Linked DNA regions of Nothobranchius furzeri. The protein of the gene in region 1 interacts with the protein of each later gene in a pairwise test. Links are inferred from orthologs where the notes say so. Each region holds a gene or a part of one and is shown in the gene's direction. Other genes may lie near its edges.

Region 1 (4,315 bases):
CTACTTCAGCTGATGATACGGTGGCTGGTAAGGGTCACCGCGCCTACACCGCAGCCACGGTAAACCCACCAAGATAATATAGTTTTTTAAAAAACAAGACGGTTATTATTATTGTCAACTTTTTTTTTTTTACCGGGGTTTACCGCTACACTGGTTACCGTGACAACTCTACCTGATCGGTTTGCTTTGATCTATTTTGAAAATTCCGATCAAAACCGATAGGGGCGCTATCGGCCGATTACGATCAAATGCCGATCCATCGGTGCATCCCTAGTTTTGGTCAGGTGTAGAGCAAAAAGGTGCAGCTCCTTCCTAAAAAGCAAATAATCTCCAATAGAAAATAAGAGGATGCTTAGACTTTTGCATTGATGTTACTAATTTTTTTAAATCACAGCTCATCAGATCTCCAGACTTGATCCTGTTCATTATGGCCCAGTAGTTGCTGCTTCAGAAACCTTGTGGTTTGATCAAGGGTAACTTTCCACACATAAGCGTGGCCCGGCTGCCCTGTCTTTAGCACAAAGAGCTTTGTGTCTTCAGCTGATCAGCCATTTAACGTTAAACGTGCTAATATAGGCTTCTGAGATGGAGCTCCTTGTGTCTGTGATGATTTTTCTCTTTGGCATTGTGTTAACACGCGCCTGAGCTAAGACCTTAATTATTAAAGACATTATGCAACAATTCAGATGTATTCACCTAATACTTTATACTTGTTTAATGCCCAGAGACTATTTCACGGTGTCCTCTGTGTTTTCAGACTGTATGTCCTCATACTTCTGCTCATTCGTGTATTTAAGCAAGCGTGCTTCTGTTGGTGGGTGGGTGGCTCTTACTGTAGCTAGATGAAGGGTTGTGTGGTTTTAGATGAAGCTCAATTGCAAACGGAGTCGGGGGGGGGGGGGGGGGGGGCTAATCCAGTGAAATGGCAAGCTGCATAAAGAATTATGCACAGCTCTCAGAAGGCCCTTCACTTTTGAAAGACACAGCCGTGAGAGGCTTACAGCTCAAGACCTGAATGTTTTCAAGGTAGTGAGCTTGAATTTTCAATTTGAATCCAATCAAGGCTCATCTACATGTGTTGTGTGTTGGGTGGCTGTGAGGGAAGAGTGCAGAGAGAAGGAGCCGTGTGCAGTCAATCTGAAATGTTGCTAAGTAACAGCGATGGCAGACAAGGTGGGGAAATGAATGTGATATAGTGCTCTGCAAATCCCTGCTTCTCACATGGTTTCCTATTTTTCCCCTTTTTCCTTCCCCCACCACCCCTCCCTGTTTTCTCTCTATCTCTCACTTTTATAGATCTCCCCCCTCAGCTGTGAGCTCTACAGAGACACCACTGACAGAACAACAGACAACCATGGAATGCGTCAACATCATGGTGGTGGATTCCTGCTGACTCCTCGCTTGCTACTGGCATCAACCTGAATCTTGGCCTTCTGGGGTCCTGCAGCGTTTATAGGCATACAGCAATGCCTTGGAGGGCCGCCTGCCCCAGATTGCTTCCAGGCATGGTTGCTTCTTCAGCACGTTGCTGCTTGTAGCCTCTTCAGAACGATCCAAGTCCAGCGAGCGCATCCTTCTGCTCTTCTCTGTTCTCACCTGGCGCCAAGACCGGCCCTCTTTCTGGTGACTAACCAGTGCATGACTGAACCAGATGACCCAGATCACATTTATTTTCCAGTAGCAGTGCTAAGCAATACGAGGGGATCTGAGTATTGAACATGACTCATGGGGAGGAGCCTGGCCCTGAGACACACAAGGATTCAGCTGTTCTAACTTATCTGGAAGGTTTACTGATGCATCCAGTGGTGGCCGGGCCTGGGGCCACAGCAGGCGGGAGGTCCGAGGCTGTCCACAGCAATCAGCAACAGGGCAACAAGGTGGGGGGGTCCTTCCCACTAACTCACCATGCTCCAATAGCGCCCAAGGCTGGAACTAATAGACCGACTCTGGGTTCCTCACAACACCTGAAGAAGGCTCGCCTGCTGCGCTCCGGAGCGTGGAATGATCCGGGGAACCAGCGGCTGAGTTCACCCCCCATGGACCTGAATGGCCAAGTGGGAGGCCTGCAAAACGGAACGCTGGAGGAATCCCCTAATGCTGGAGAGAGCACCCTGTTGGCATCTCTGCTTCAGTCATTCACATCACAGCTTCAGAATGTGGCATTGTCTCAGAACACTAGTAAACCCACCAGTGAGTGTCCATCTCCAGCCAAGGCTCCAGCTGCAGACAAAGAGCCCCTACCTGTTTATGGGACAGCCTCCAGCCGCTTGAAAGGCCTCATGCGGAAGAGCAAACTACAGAATCACAACAACACCCCTTACAGCCGCCGTGGACACAGCCAGGACCGGCCACCAGAGTCCCCTCGATCAGCACACAGCGCCACGCCTCCTGCTGCTCCTGCTGAGTCGGTGTCCTGTGCTGAGCGTTTGAAAGCAGTGGCTAACTTGGTGAAAATTCGTTCTAGCCCCGCCCCCTCACCAAAGCCCAGCGTGGCCTGCAGTCAGCTTGCTCTGCTGCTGTCCAGCGAAGCACATCTGCAGCAGTACTCCAGAGAGCATGCTCTCAAAGCCCAGCTCTCAGGGAGATCAGCCAGCGAGAGACTGGCTGCAATGGCCAGCCAGCAGCACGACACAGACAAAAGGCCTCCAAGTGTTGGGGGGTCTCCAGACACACTAAGCTCCTTAGCAACTCAGAATGGAATGACAACTACCACGATGATGGCAACACTCCCTCGGACGGCAGTGTCCAGTCCTCAGAGCCCATCCCTGCTGCGTGGCCACAGCCAAAGCTCCCCACCCGCTGCTCCCCACGCGCCGAGCCAGCCCCCCAGAGAGAAAAGAGGCTTTGATGCTCGTCCAGTCCGCCCACCGCAGACATGCAGCAGCTTGCTGCTGCTGCTGCTGAACAACCACAACAGTCAGAAGCAGCTGACCAAGAACGGACACCTGGAGGACATCGGTGGCCTTCTGCCTCCAAGCGGCTCCTCTTCTGTCACGTCGGACAGTGAATGCTCCACCCATGAGAGAAGCATGACCAAGGACAGCAGTGATGCTGAGAGCTCCTACTCCAGCTGTTCCCCAATTGACCTCTCCATGAGAGGTCGTGGCAGTGCTAGTGCACAAGACACTGGGCCCAAAAATGCTCCCTCTTCTTCCTCTTCCGTCACCTCTGTGCTCTCTTCCTGTACCATGGTGCTGTCTTCCACCCCAGCATCATCCTCTCCTCAAGCCAGTGCTCAGCCCTCCACTTCATCCTACTCACCTTCTTCTTTGACTGTCTCCTCTGTATCCACTGCTATTTCTTCATCCTCGTCCTCCTCCTTCCCTACCTCCTCCCTGGACAAGCTAACGGAGTCTTTAATAAACAAGTGGAAACCAGAGCCATCCAGATCAAACGTCTCCAACAACAAGGAGCCAGAAATGAGTCCGGACCTAAAATCCCACCCGAAGGTCACTCTCATGCAGCTGCTGCTCGAGCGCAGGAACTCTGAGATGGCTAGCAAAAGCAGCGGGACACAGGACTTGCCTCTTGACATAACTATGGCCACCATGTCTCAAAGTCAGCAGAAAAGACTGATGTCCTGGGAGGAGAGCAGAACCAGAAGCTCCATAGAAAAGTCAGCAGGTCCGCCCCAGTCCCTCTACTCTTTTAGTCAGGACCCGAGTGGTGCACTTTCCCCGTATTCTTACCCCTCCCCCCATGTTCAGTCCAGCCCACTAGATTTGTGTAAGTCTAAAGCCTTCCCAGCTGAGAGGTCCTCAGAGCCAGCCTTTAGTGCCAGTAAACTGTTGCAGAATCTGGCCCAGTGTGGCACCACCACCTCCTCCTCCTCCTCCTCCTCCACCCCGCCCATCCCCTCCAGCAAAGGCCTGGGCCAGGAGATCGACACCAGCAGGCCCCTGGCCTTGATGGAAAGACTTAATGCTCCAGTCCACCGGACCAGCACCACTCCACTGTCAGATGGAGCATCAGGCAGCGGCACACCTTTCATTCACAAGGAGCCGTCCACTCCCTCCTCACAGATCGAGAACCTCCTGGAGAGGCGCACTGTGCTGCAGCTTCTTTTAGGAACCGGGTCGGCCGGCAGTACCACCAGCCGCAAAGACAAGTCCAGTGGTGGTTACCGGAGGAGTACTGAGGCAGCTGGGGGGTGCTACGAGACCAGCCCTGCCACCACTGTCCTTTGTGACAGCTCTAACGAACCTATCTTAGATGTGAAGGTAAAGTCTGAGCTCACAGAGGAGGCGGGGCCACCTCCTGCCAGGTCTGAGGACTTTAGCAGCAAAAAGAGACTGAGTGGCTGTGAGAAGAAAAG
Region 2 (4,245 bases), on another chromosome or scaffold:
ACCTCCCTCAGACATTCTCGTTAAAAACAATGGACCCGAAAGTATTTTTTTGTTTTGCTTTCTGAAGTTAAAAATGAATAAAAATAACTAAAATCTTTAGACGTTCCTTTTAAATTGCTGCATTTGTCATCAGCACAAACAGAAAATAATAAATTAGAATAAATGAAATAATTTTGGGGAAAAATCTCATTTAATCAAAGTTTTATATTAGTCAAGGGTCTGTAACAACTAACTTATGATGGCTGCAGCTAAATAGTCAAGTGTGTTCATGATTATAAGATCAACACGGATGTTCCAGATGAAGAAAAAGTCCCATTCAAAGCAGAAACTCTGTTGCAGACCAGAATGAACAGATGAAGAATGAAAGTAACAGTGAAGTTAAATGATCAAAATCCCACATTCCCAAAGTTGGGATCAGGACCCCCTCAGGGTCACAAAACACTAGTTTAAATTAAATTTTAAAAAATTTAAAAACATATCTTATTTGTTTGTTTTCCCTTTACTTGTGTAAAAGATATAAATAATTGGCTAGTTCTCTTTATACTCTTGTTTACCTTGTTTAATTATCTGAGGTTATTTTGTCAGATGAAAAGTTTGTGAACCACTGATCTGAATCAGATTTGAACAATCAGGATCTGAGTTTCTTCTGTTTGAAGTGGAGCCAGAAAACAAGCCAGAATGCCCCGAGGCGTTCACTGGATCGGTCATTTCACAGGGCAATGGTGGTCCGTACTGTAACATGCAACTTTACTTTCTCAGTTTCCTTGTCATTATTTAGTGTTGGAAAGGAGGACCGCGCCCCGATAACCATCCTGAGGACACATGAGACAATTCATGCCATCTGAGCTGCTCGTCTTTCTGCCACAGATCTATTCACCGTAATCTGCATTTAACTATTGCATGAAAACAGCTAAATGCCTCCATGCATAAAGTGTATGTTTTATGCATAGATCACATTGTTGTGACTGCAGATTGGTTTCAGCAGTTGTCCTGATGATGCAGTTTGTACCCCTGCAGCAAAACTCTAATTCTGGACATCAATTAAGTGCTTTTCTGGAAGGTAATGGGTTTTGTTTTCCTCATGTTATTTTTGTGCACCTTGGAACCAAAAGCACCAAAAGTATCCTCAGACTTAATTATTTGAACAGTTTTAACACTTTTAATAGAAAATGATGGGATTGACTCAATGTGGATGATGATAAAACTTTACTGTGCTCATCGTATGAGTGTGTACGCGCGTGTGTGCGTGCGTGTTGAAGCTCCAGGCTGCAGGCAGATTGCAGGAGAGAGTGGGAGGAGCGGAAAGTGCTCCAGTCCAATCCGGGCCGACGGGTAAAGCCGCTCCTGTGCGCTCTTCCCTCCCTCCGCCCGCAGAAAACAGTGAAACTCTCCCGTAGATGTGAGAGCGCAGATGTCATGAGAACAGCGGCAACACGACCACAGCACTCCGACCGACGCGCCGACCGACCTCATCGCGCCCCAGTCTGGGATGCTTTTAGCGCAGACACGTTTCCAATCAGTGCAGCCGGTGGACGTTGACGCGCACCGTCTACGCTCTTTTTGCCTTCGTTGTTATTTTTAACCGAGGATCTTTTCTCCCGCACACACAGCAGCAGCCCCCTCCACCTTTTTAAAAAGAGTTTATTTTTGTTTCTTCATGACTGCTGCTTTGGGAAGCGAGCCTCAGCACCAGCTCCAGCTCCAGCAACGCCAACACGATGCGAGGTAAGACCACAGCGCTTCCCACAAGCTGGAGACGCGCACGGCACGCGACACTCCGCATTAAAATTAGAACTTTATTCTAATTTCATTATTTAATTCTGTTTCATTATGAAGGGTTGTTGTCACTTCACTATAAATATTTACATCTGCTTCTCTGTATCTTATTGCATTTTTCTGCCTTTATAAACAATATTAAAAGTTTTCTTTTTCGATTTATTTCCCAGAATTTCGTTCTGGCCCCAAGTGTGACAATACTTAAGCTGCACGTTAACACCTAAATCCACTTTGGTTACAAAGCAAAAGTGGCGCATGACGCGTGGAACTCCACACACCGGTCTGACTGCCCTCAGGTCCAATCAGGTTATCACTGAGTCATAATTTATTTTATTGTCCGTGAGTCCGGTGATCAACTTTATTGAATGATGTGGGGGGAACTCTGAAGCGCCCCACTAACCCATTTCTCCACGCGCTGCGGTGCGTCGTGGATGTTGAACTCCAATGTCAATGTCGTCTTGTGCGCGCACTATCACGCGCGCGCTGTCTCACACACCGAGCCGCTCATTGACCCACAGGTCAACAACTCAAGCCTTTCCTCTAAGTTAAATTCACTATCAGTCAGAAAAAAGTAATTATTTTTTTCGTTTTTCCGGTAATATTTTAACTGTTGACTCATTCAGGGCCCTTTCTCTTTTTCACGTGGACTTTCCACTCTGTGTGAAATTATATCCAGCTCACTGGTGAATGGCTGTTGCTCCATAAAGTTTAATTAATCTTTTTTTAATCATATCATCAGATCATAACTTCTCACAGTGCCAGTGTCTGACTTTTGAAGTAGAAAAACATTTGAAACAAAAAGGCTATCCTGTCAAAATAAAAACAACTGAAATTTCAACACAAACAGGTTCACTTTAGAAAACTTCACTAAAACAATGAGATCATTATACGGAACTGGTCAGTTATTTTCATGAAAAAAAAAGTAAATATTTTAGCAACACATTTCTTGAAAAGGTCCAATTAGAGGCTGCAATAAAGTTTAATTCAAAGCATTTCCTGCTAATTATCTATCTATCTATCTATCTATCTATCTATCTATCTATCTATCTATCTATCTATCTATCTATCTATCTATCTATCTATCTATCTAGAATGGATTTGTGTTTTATGGTCACATAACTGCTAGCGTCAGGCCATGCATCCTGACCAAGTAAAACCATGAGAAGTTCAACACCCCCTTCGCCCCTCTCCTTCTTTCTCCATAATCCCATGACAAACTCTTCTGCCATCCACCTTGTGTTTTATCTACGTCCTAATGGGTCTTGCGTCCACTCTCGTGCACGGGAGGCTTTGAGGGGCGGGGGGTGCACACAGAAAGCTTCTGCTTTCACTTTATAGCCGTGGTTGGCAGAAGAGGCCCCTGAAGCGTCTCCCTCACCCCTCTTTCAGCATCTCTCTCTCTCTCCCTCTTTCTCCCACTCTTTCCTCTCTCTCTCTCTCTCTCTCGCTCACTATCCATCTTCCTCTCTCTCTCTCTGCACGCCCCAAAGGGTTTTGTCAGATAGAATTAAATCAGTGAGGGCTGTGCGGCCTCCGCTCCCAACCTGTGTGTGTGTGTGTGTGTGTGTGTGTGTGTGTGTGTGTGTGTGTGTGTGTGTGTGTGTGTGTGTGTGTGTGTGTGTGTGTGTGTGTGTGTGTGTGTGTGTGTGTGTGTGTGTGTGTGTGTGTGTGTGTGTGTGTGTGTGTTGGCTGCCCTTACACAGAAATGTGCTCACAACCAAGGTTATAAAAAATAGAGGCCTCTCATGAGCCGTGGTAATTAACATTTAACAAAAGCTACAACTCCTGAAGCCCTTACCGAAGATGATGTCACTGCATCACCCGGTGTGGAACAGCCAGAAAAATAACATACATGATATTATCATAAGGACATTCACAGCTTCTGAGGACATGGACCGTTTTTTTTTTTCTTATTTCAAAGAGGATAACTGTTTTTGTAACATGACGATAAATTATGTGTTGTGGATGCTGTTCCAAAAAAGTAAAGATAAATGATATTACAAACAGCAGCTGGATGTAATTTAAACTGTTAAAATATAATTGCTTTAACAAAAATGAACTCTTCAGTTTTGTTTAATTAACCCCCCCACCCCCCCACCCCCATCCCCACCTTCACCCCAACAACATTATTGCTATTTATTTTGACTAGAATGAGCAATAAATTGAATCTATGTAATTAAAAATGCACAACATTCCAGGTTGAAAGTTTTTCTATATACAGGTGAAACTCAAAAATTAGAATATCTTGCAAAAGTGTGTTAATTTCAGTAATTCATCATAAAAAGGGAAACTAATACATGAGATAGACTCATTCCATGCAAAACCAGAGATTTCGAGCCTTTGTTCTAACTGTGATGATTACAGCTTGTGAAAACTCCAAATTAAAAGTCTCAGACAGTTAGAATATTGTGAAAAGGTTCAATATTCTAGACTTAAAGTGTCTAATAAGGTAATGAATCCAAAACACCT
Region 3 (3,658 bases), on another chromosome or scaffold:
AACGATGTGAACGGGAGAAGGGGCTCCCGGATGCCCCTCTGGGACAGAGCCAGCTGGGCATATCATGGACTCCTGGAAACAGTGGAACCTGATCTGCCTCGCTCAACTGTCTGTAGAGGATTCTGAAGACGTCTGGATATTCGTGGTGTTGGTGTCAGGTTTCGTGCTTTTTGGCCTGAGTGGTTACCTGACTTACCGGAAAATTAATGAGCTGTCGAGGAATATTGGCTCGCTCCCGGAGCTCAGGGATGGATTACACCACGCTGTGAACGCATAAACTCATATAATTGTCGAGATGAGTCGTAAGCTTGGAACTTTGGCTGAGATTCAGACTTTGGCACAGAAGGTGGATTTGATCAAGGAGAAAGTTGACGGATCAGCACGGATTGGGATAGATAAATTACGCCATTACTGGATTTAGAGGGGTTGAGGACCAACAGAACTTTAAGACAGAGAGGAAATGATCTCTGTCTGGCCCCAAAACAAGTTCTTATCTGAATCTGGTGTCCTTGAGCCTGTGAGGCTGAAGAGATTACTCCCCCTCAGAAGAAATGTGGAATGCTGCCATCGCCATGGTAACTCTGTCTCCCTATCCCAGCCTGGGCGGGACTGTGACCGGTGAAGGCCGTTGAATCGCTCTCTAAACCCAACTACCTCCCTCCCCTGTCCAAACAGAGGTGACGAGCGCTGTTTATCATGGCTGCATGCACTGATGTGTGGACAGTCCCCAACCCTACCTCCCCACCTAGTGGACACTTATGTTGTGTAATGTTTGAAGTCTGTTGCATTTCTGTCTGAGGTGTTTTTTACATAGCGAAGCTGCCCCCCTGTGGAGGGTAACTCTGAAGTGCCTTTTTTTTCCTCCACCTGACTCAATCCTTATATATAAACCCTCTGATCTCTATTAAAGTAGCACCACTCGGGTTGCGAATGACCACAGTCACCAATTCTTGTCATGTGTCTATGACTATGTATATATGTCTGATCTCAGAATTGTGTGAACTGAAACTCTAATGTCCCTCTGGGATTAATAAAGTATCTTTGAATTTGAATTGAATTGTCTTTCATAAGATGTTTTTTAAATACTAGTATGCACTGAGTAAAATTAGCATATTTTCTCACAGTGAATTACCTAAGAATTTTCATAAAGCTAAAAGGATAAATTATCAAGTTTTAAATAAAAATGAATGGCAAGTGCTTAAAATAATAAAAGTGCATGTTTTTTCTTTACAATTATAATAAAATTATAATGCACTGATATGAAGTATTTTTGGTTTTAGATAATTCAATAAAAAACAGACCATTTCTTAAAATAAATGCTCCAAAAGTTTTTAATATTTGACAAATAAATAGTTGTAACACCAGGGTTATCAGAGGAAAAGTAACTTAACGTGTGTGCTCCATGAAAGGGGCAAAAGAAATGTTTTTTTATTTTACGTCATTTCAGCGTTGGCATTACATGAACGCGCCCAAAGATACGGGAATGCGCCTGCACGAACCCGGAAGTAAGCAACAACAAACTAGCTTCGTCGCCGCTCACCGAGCAGCGGATTATTATTGACCACAGTGACATTTTAACAGTCTTTGCTTTCAAATATATAAGTCAAATATTTTAATCGAAAAAGTTTGAGATGGGAACTACAGCGAGTCAACTCGGAAAGGCTGACCTGTCAGAATACCAGGTAAGTGTTTATCGTGTTATTTGCTGTAGTCCAGCAAATGCTGAAAACTTAGTTTTACAGAGTATATTTATACTAATCACACTTATCAAAGGTTTTGAGATAAATACGAAATTAGTCAGAATTTCAGCCAGGATAAGAGCAGACGCTTGTTGCATAGAAGCTAAACGTTGGTAATGCTGATAGCTTTGAATCAGAAAGGGGCTTGTTTTGACTTGTACTCATCTACAGTACATCTGATTTTAGGAGCTGACTTTCCTGACTAAACAAGAAATTCTTCTGTAAGTTACAGGTTGTATGACAACTAAGAAAATGTAAACTATTCTTATAGATCATGGGATAGATGTCTGATTTATTCCTGTTTTTTCCTAATAAGTGCTCATAAGAGATTCACTGAGTTGCTCCCCAAAGAGGAAAAAAACTCAACAAATGCCAGAGTTCCAATGACAAAGATTCTCACGCTGCCTGAGCTGAAGGTAACAGGAAATTTCAGTAGAAGTGTGGCAACGTTTCTATTTATTGGTGTAATCTTTATAGAGGAAGTGGATGATCTAATAAAGTGAACTTTGAACTTGTTCTCGTCCTAGTCTAACCCTTTCAAGGAAAGAATCTGCCTGGTTTTCTCAACAACTAACCCAAACGATGGAAGCTTCAGCTTTGACGATTTCCTGGATTTTTTGAGTGCCTTCAGTGACTCGGCTACGTTGGAAATAAAATCCCACTATGCTTTCCGTATATTTGGTAAATGTTGATAAAACACGAGCTGGTCAGTTTTTTCTTAGCTGCACTGATCTTGTCTGATCATTAGCTTTATATTTTCAGACTTTGACAATGATGGGACCCTCAGCTGTGGCGATCTGGAGAAGCTGGTTGACTGCTTGACTTATGAGTCGGAAGACTCGCGTCTAACCACTGAGGAAATGAGACAGCTCATAACTAATGTGAGTTCACTTCGACTGTTTTTTTTCTCTCAAAGATGCAAGAAGCACACTCCAAAGAGATGCTCTGAGGCATCATCTGGGCACAAATGAATCTTGCTTTTGTTTAGATCCTTGAAGAGTCAGACATCGACAAGGATGGGACGGTGAATCTCTCGGAGTTTCAGCATGTCATTTCAAGATCTCCAGACTTTGTCAGGTGGTTTTCCCAAAATAATATCTGACACATAAATCTTGAGGAAATGTTTTCTAATCATCACAATTGTTTTTTTCCCCCCACAGTTCTTTCAAGATTGTGCTGTGAGGCCTTGGAAATGGCCAACTTTTAATTTTGTTTTTAGTGAAAAACTATACTTGCCTTTAAATTTTACTTACTTCTGGATTTTACTCTTATGATTTTATGAATTGTTTGTGAAATTTATATATATATATATATTTTATAACATCTTTAAAATAAAAGTTTAAGGTATTAGATTACTAAAGTTCTTCATTGACACAAATAATTTATTACAAAACATTTTCCACAGCGTAACTTTCTGATGTAATTTAGACTTCCTTGTACGCCGACCAAAGTCCAACGTGGGGGCAGATTCAGGGGATTGTCAGGTATTTTTGAGATCAAGTACTCCCTTCTTGACGGCGGCAGTAAAAGTGTTCCACGGCCCACACACCACATCGACAACATGCAGGTCCTTGGCCTTAAAAAACTCCACACGTCGCGGTTCGTCTAAACTGTTAAATGTCTGGTGTCCAAGTTGGCCGTATTCTCCTGGGGGACAAGAACAGAAAAAGAATAGCTTAATATTTGCTGATAATATATTAAATTTCAATTTGAGTTGATATCCTGTTGTAAGAATAGAACAACTTTATTGTCTGACACCAAGCGGTTACAGAAATTTGTCTTTAAGAGGGCTCATCGTCATCCACCTCATCATTCACACTTTCATAGAACAGTAAATACAATAAAAAATCATAAAAAACTAAAAACACAGATATAAGCTTAAAAGCCATAAAACCAAAGATGCAACTATATGCCTAAAA

Evidence for each region.
Region 2: the proteins of nrip1b (region 1) and rorb interact in a two-hybrid assay, tested with the Homo sapiens proteins (2 studies listed by BioGRID). The link is inferred for Nothobranchius furzeri from reciprocal best matches to the Homo sapiens genes NRIP1 and RORB.
Region 3: the proteins of nrip1b (region 1) and calcium and integrin-binding protein 1 interact in a two-hybrid assay, tested with the Homo sapiens proteins (2 studies listed by BioGRID and IntAct). The link is inferred for Nothobranchius furzeri from reciprocal best matches to the Homo sapiens genes NRIP1 and CIB1.

Annotation. Positions count from the first base shown.
Region 1 is NC_091750.1:42,800,845-42,805,159, reverse strand, and holds the start of nrip1b (nuclear receptor-interacting protein 1), read left to right. Parts: upstream 1-1,491; 5' UTR 1,492-1,718; coding exon 1,719-4,315. UniProt on the Homo sapiens protein: Modulates transcriptional activation by steroid receptors such as NR3C1, NR3C2 and ESR1. Also modulates transcriptional repression by nuclear hormone receptors.
Region 2 is NC_091757.1:36,863,253-36,867,497, reverse strand, and holds the start of rorb (nuclear receptor ROR-beta), read left to right. Parts: upstream 1-1,378; 5' UTR 1,379-1,718; coding exon 1,719-1,725; intron 1,726-4,245. UniProt on the Homo sapiens protein: Nuclear receptor that binds DNA as a monomer to ROR response elements (RORE) containing a single core motif half-site 5'-AGGTCA-3' preceded by a short A-T-rich sequence.
Region 3 is NC_091744.1:74,254,034-74,257,691, forward strand, and holds calcium and integrin-binding protein 1, read left to right. Parts: upstream 1-1,419; 5' UTR 1,420-1,631; coding exon 1,632-1,682; intron 1,683-1,925; coding exon 1,926-1,960; intron 1,961-2,055; coding exon 2,056-2,155; intron 2,156-2,266; coding exon 2,267-2,420; intron 2,421-2,501; coding exon 2,502-2,620; intron 2,621-2,727; coding exon 2,728-2,816; intron 2,817-2,899; coding exon 2,900-2,921; 3' UTR 2,922-3,091; downstream 3,092-3,658. Other genes in the region: RCC1 domain-containing protein 1, read right to left, coding at 3,220-3,386. UniProt on the Homo sapiens protein: Calcium-binding protein that plays a role in the regulation of numerous cellular processes, such as cell differentiation, cell division, cell proliferation, cell migration, thrombosis, angiogenesis, cardiac hypertrophy and apoptosis.